Linked DNA regions of Xenopus tropicalis. The protein of the gene in region 2 purifies or fractionates together with the protein of the main gene of each other region. This does not show direct contact. Links are inferred from orthologs where the notes say so. Each region holds a gene or a part of one and is shown on either strand. Other genes may lie near its edges.

Region 1 (3,841 bases), on a different chromosome or scaffold from region 2:
TGTTGTAGTCCAGGCACATCTAGGGAATCAAGGTTAAGAAAGACATGATGCGCATCACTGCCTCCCCTGTTATTGTGTTCTGCAGCACATTTTTAGCAAAGTTATCAAAATACTAAGTCAACCGAAGATGCAGCGACACAGCACTTGTTTATGCACATTTGCAAAAATAATTTAGAAATAGTTATTTTTAAACCCACTAAACTGACACACTTTTGACAAACCTCCAATGTAAACTTAACACTGGCATCTACTTTCTGTTGTTTAATGCAAAGCTTCAAAGGTTTTACTATGCTGTTGGGAAACTATCCAATAACCCCTTGTTAGCAGGTTGAGTTACAATAGTCTGCCAGTAGGCCACTTGAACAGGCTGGGAGCCATTAAAAGCTCAAAGAGGGCCTTTATTTTGATTGCCCTGCTCTAGTGTATACGGAATTCTCTATATAGATGCTTTTACATTACGCCTTGGTTTTTTTAATTTCTAACAGGTAATAGAAAGAAGCAGAAAAGGAGATGACAAAAAAGCTGTTTCTACAAAAGTAATAAGATACAAGCGAGAATGGATTATACCACCTGTGACAATCACAGAGGAACAGGATAATTCTTGGAGGAACCCAATAGCAAAAGTAAGTGATCCTGGAAATGAGTTGTTGCATGAAATTGTAGTAAAGTCTCTCTGAATAAATTTACACACTTAATCTAATTCTCAACAGCCAATCATTTCCTAACTAGATTTTTAAGGGCTATGAACCATCTAGCTATTCTGGGCTTTGTTGACCATGCAATGGATAGCTCCTTTGGTGGGGGAAATAACATTTGAAATCACTCCCCCAATCTTCCCCTTTATTTAAAGGACAGTTGCAGGTGTACTCATGTGTCAGGCGACTTTAAATAAATGTGGAATGTGGTTTTGTTCACCCACAGAGCTTTTACTTGTCTGGCCAACAAAACACCCAGAATTACTAGGTGTGCCAGTGCCCTTCAGGTGCACTTTAAGAGATTGTACAACCTTTGACCATAACCCCCCTCCCCCCTTCCTTTGCTCTTTGTTGCACACAACAACATGCATTTTTAAAGTAATACAGTAATGGGAAATCATGTTTTTTTTTTTGGTTTTTTTTTAAATGCATCAGTTAAAGGAAAGTAACACTAAAAAATTTTAAGTAAAAAAATCTATTCAACCCTGCCCCAATAATTGCCCTATCCTGCACACCATTTATTATTTTGAATGCTTTATTAGAAAATACCTGCTAAAATTTGGCTTCCGGTCATTTGAAATAGGGCGATACGGCGATGCAGGGAAGAATCCACTAAACGACGATCGATTGATCGATTCTAGCGCGACTCCTTCCTATACAGAAGGCTAGAATCAAACAATTTTCCTTTAATAGAGCTTCTCCAGCAGAATCCTGCATTGAAATCTGAAACAGATTTTCTTATGTTTCATTCGGAAATTTCACATGTGGAAATTTCACAGGGTGCCACAGCCATGTGACCTGTGCTCTGATAAACTTCAGTCACACTTTACTGCGCTGCAAATTGGAGTGATATCACCCCCCTCCCAGTAGCCGATCAGCACAACAATGGGAAAGTAGCAAGATAGCAGCTCCAGAATAGCACTCAATAGTAAGAAATCCAAGTCCGGCTTGGGAACCTTCAGTTACATGGGGGTAGGAGAAACCGTAGGTTACCTGTAAGCAGTTCTAATGTGTAGTTCTGGCCCTTTTTGAAAGCTCAGACTCAGGCACAATGCACTTAGATTGCTGCCTACACACCAATATTACAAATGTAAAAAATACATTTGTTTGTTCAAGAATAAAATTTTAAATGGTACAGTGAATTATTTGCTATGTAAACAGTGTAATTTAAAAATATAAAAAGTATACCATAAAACCATGACAGTATCCCTTTAATCAATAAATGCAGTATGGGGATTGAATGAAATGCTGGAAAAACAAGGCAGGAGGGGGCGGGACTTAGTACCTACTTTGCTTATAGACTATGACAACAATGTTTCAGCACACATAATTTGCTTGAATTAGACCTTAAAGGGTGCATGCAGTAGGATTTGTTCGCCTTTGCATAACTTCCACTTCAACATTTACAAGGATTGCAGCACTCCCATTCTGAATCTGTGCCATATGTGAAATAAAGGGGATTTTACTTCTATGGAATGGAAGTTCTGCAATCCTTGTACAGGTACATTTTCCAGAATGCTTGGGGTAAAGGGTATTCCGGATTAGGGATCTTTCCGTAATTTCGTAATAAAAAAAAAATCAATAAATTAATTAAACCCAATAGGATTGTTTTGCGTCCAATAGGAATTAATTATATCTAAGTTGGGATCAAGTACAAGGTACTGATTTATTATTACAGAGAAAAAGGAAATCCGTTTTTAAATTCTGAATAATTTGATTAAAATGGAGTCTATGGGATTTCTGTAATTCGGAGCTTTCTGGGTAACTGGTTTCCGGATAACTGATCCCATACCTGTAAATGTTTGTTTATACACTGAAAGCAGAAAAAAAATGTTCATTTCCATGTTTTACAGAAAGTCAAGGAAACATAGGAAAAGCCTTCATACCTCTGCTACAAAATCAGGTCTTAATAGTCACCTCTGCTTGGTGACTATGGTTTTAGAGAACTGATTGATTGTAAATTCATTGGCTGGCCAAACTGAATGTAGACTAAAACATAGAAATTGTCGTTTTGTGATGAATAAATCCACAGCAGAGAGCTATGCACTTTTATGTTGAGATACTGCTGGCACTTTCATCCTGTGGTGAACACAGTTTCAGCAATGTATGCATCACACTGGGGGCAACAATGTTATTTGTACAGGTCTTGCATAACATTTTATACAGCTTGCAGTCTTAAAAAGAAGGTACAGGTATTGGACTCCTTATCCGGAAACCCATTATCCAGAAATTTCAGAATTACGGACAGGCCATCTCCCATAGGCTTCTCTGTAATAAAAAAACAGTAACTTGTACTTGGTCCCAACTAAGATGTAATGAATCCTTATTGGAAGCAAAACAATTCTTTTGGGTTTAATTACTGTTTAAATATTTTTTTTGTAGACTTAAGGTATGAGATCTGAATTATGGAAAGACCCCTTATCCGGAAACCCCAGGTACTGAGAATTCTGGATAATGGGTCCCATACCTTTAATAAATTATGATGGTTTCCATTTATTCCGTGGAGTCCTGTATGTAGGGTATGTTACTGCTGCACATATTGTGATAATTTATAGTACATTTATACAAAACTTCTGGTTATGAATCTCTTAATACATTTACTGCTAACTTTTATACTAGTTTTTTTACACTGTACTTATTTTAAATGGAAAATCTGGAGAACAAGATGTGTGATACTCCTAATTACTTCTAATTTCACTAACAGATTCAATCAGATTATCAGATCGACAGGAGAATTACATATCGCATTGAGGGTATGGGGGTGACAAAACCTCCCCTTGGCATTTTCATTATCAATGAAAGGACTGGGGAACTGAACGTAACAGGAATTGTGGACAGAGAAGAAACGCCAATGTTCTATGTAAGTTTAATTTGATCAATCATATTGTAATTAGGGGCATAAATATCCTTTGAAGGACATATGAACCACATGAATATATATGAAAAGCAGTGAAGGCGCCATGAAACAGAAAGGAAAAGGACTAAATGTCTACTAAACACTTTCTCATTGAATCTTTTACTTAATAAATGTGTCAGTTACATATTATTTCTACTTGGCACATAGTTCTTGCATTACTGTAGTTCAAATCTGGCCCTGTTCGTCAATAGGTGCAGCAGTACTCCTGGAGCTACTGCCACCTCCTCAC
Region 2 (2,553 bases):
ATTCACCTTTGTGTTAACTTTTTTAGTATGACCGAGTGCAATATTCTCAGACACTTTGCATTTGGTCTTCATTTTTTATTTGTAGGTTTTTTTCAGCAACTCGCTAGTTTTGAGTTTCAGCAGCTAGGGTCAAAATTACCTTAGCAACCAGGGATTGATTTGAATGAGAGGCTGGTATATGAGTAGGTGAGGACCTGAATAGTAAAATAAGTTACTTTTTATAACAACAAAACTGGAGCCTCACAGCGCAATAGTTTTCTGGCTGCCGGGGTCAGTGACCCCCATTTGAAAGCTGCAAGGAGTTAGAAGGCAAATAATTAAAAAACGATTAAATAATCAATTAATAAATAACCAATTGAAAAGTTGCTTAGAATTATCCATTTTGTAACATACTGAAAGCTTAACGTTAATTGAGAATTGGCAGCCCTAGAGTTAACCGACCGGTGCATAGAAAGTTCAGAGAGAGCTGCTGAAAGCCTGGAAAATGTATGTAAACTGCTGAAGTGCGCATTTACATCCCCTTTATGCACACTGCATTTAACCCTTAGAGTTTGGCAGGGTTCAATAACGCAGAGAATGAAAGATTCTATACATCTGATCATTATTCCCAATGATAATTTGCCACCCACTTGCTGTGGGATCATCTCTTTCTTTGGCTTTTCATCAGCAGAATTGTGACTTCTTACCAATTTATTACTCACATTACATGCAAAATTGTGTTTTCATTTTCAGGCGCAGAGCATGATTCCTCTTAATGATCCTTATCCAGATGGTAAGTGAACTGAACATTGTTGTAGAACGGCAAAATACCATTTATGTTGTAAAATGCACATGCAGTTACTTACAATGGCATTTTACATTAAATTCATTGTGGGCAGAGCTGGATTAATACTAAATAGGGGACTAGGGGCGGTAATGCATTGGGGGCCCCCAGATCATCTTATCACAACTTTCCACAACGTGATTGGCAAAAAAATGTCTGTATGTGCATGAACTGCTTTCTGATTGGACGGGATCCAGGAGCGTTAACTTTGAACCTCCTGTCCAATTGGTAAGCAGTCCTACACAAAATGTGTAGGGCTTTTGGGCACCCCAGATATACTGGGTCAGATGTGTTTGAGCCCCTGAGTGAGGAAACAAAGCTTTAAGAAGAATAACACTATCTCTGTTAAAGGAGAACTAAAGCCTAACTAAAGCAGTAGGGCAGAAATGTTGTATATTCCCTTTAGCAGGGAAGATCTGTGCCCCCAAAGATGCCCCAGTAGCCCCCCCATATTCTTTTCTGCTGATTCCCAGCACATATTCTGTGCTGCTGTCACTTACCTGAGCTTAGGGACTCACCCACAATATACTGTATATACAGAATATAAATGTCACTATACGAGGCTGATTAGTAATTAATACTGATAATGAATTCATTGAAGACCAGAAACCCGTGCAATTAGCAATATAATTTTATAGTCAGCCCTGTACCATCAGTTTATATGACAGACCAGCCTTATTTTCTGCTAGAACTCACTGAGCATATGCACTATACTGGAGAGTTCTAACAGAATCCAAGATGGGGAGTTCCTGTGACCTATATCATTGCTACTATAGAGATGCTGAAACATTAGGCTAGTGCAGTCAGTTAATTCTATAAAATATGGCTTTTTTAGACATATTCATCAATGGGGTTTATCTCTTTTAAAGCTCTGGGCCAAGGTAGCATTAATGGATCACTGAAAGTACATATATATTTGAATCTAATGGTGTTCTTTACCTTTGCAGAAATGGAAAATTATCGAGCTATGTACCCTGAAGATATTCCATTAGAACCAATGGGAGGAGATATGGATGTGGAGTATGCAATGGATGGCTACAGTGACCACCCAGTCAGGGGGGGCTACTCTGATAACCACATGATGGCATAAATCCTCTTGCACAAGGTACTGCTTGGCACTCTGCTGCTATATTGCAGGCAAGCTCTTTTGAATGTATAGGCAGGTCATTTGTCTTCATTGCCACTAGTGATAGCAAGAGCTTGTGTGTTCAATTGATCCAGTGACATAGTGCTGCTTACCTGTGCCTCCTTCTTTAGCCCTGTGCTTTCTCATCCAGCGTAGAGCAGGGGTGGGAGTCACAGAGGATTAATCTAGAGAAAAAGACCAGAGTTCACTGCTGTGTCGCCATTTATATTTAATAGTACATTTAGGCCTTTGAAGCACTGTTATTTTAGCAGAATACTTTCTCTACTTCGTTCCCACTGCTCCACCTAGTGGCAGAACGCAGAATCTACAGTAAAGCTAAATAGTGTAACAAAAACATCAACAAGGGGATACAATAAAAATAAATTATATCTAATTAATTATGCAATGAAATCACTTTTCTGACCCTTCTCAATGCAAACTTTAATCCAAATTAGCAGGCTGATAAACCTGTAGATTAGGTATAGAAAGCCACGTAAAGGTGGCCATGCATTTAAATGAATATTGTCATGGGAAAACATGTGTTTTCAAAACCCATAAGTTAATAGAGCTTCTCCAGCAGAATCCTGCATTGTAATCTGTTTTT

Evidence for each region.
Region 1: the proteins of jup (region 2) and dsg2 purify together in Homo sapiens (affinity purification with western blotting; 3 studies listed by BioGRID and IntAct, with this or other methods). This does not show direct contact. The link is inferred for Xenopus tropicalis from reciprocal best matches to the Homo sapiens genes JUP and DSG2.

What each region holds. Positions count from the first base shown.
Region 1 is NC_030682.2:111,632,108-111,635,948, forward strand, and holds part of dsg2 (desmoglein-2), read left to right. Parts: intron 1-485; coding exon 486-623; intron 624-3,399; coding exon 3,400-3,555; intron 3,556-3,841.
Region 2 is NC_030686.2:7,419,758-7,422,310, forward strand, and holds part of jup (junction plakoglobin), read left to right. Parts: intron 1-732; coding exon 733-772; intron 773-1,770; coding exon 1,771-1,913; 3' UTR 1,914-1,928; intron 1,929-2,553. UniProt on the Homo sapiens protein: Common junctional plaque protein. The membrane-associated plaques are architectural elements in an important strategic position to influence the arrangement and function of both the cytoskeleton and the cells within the tissue.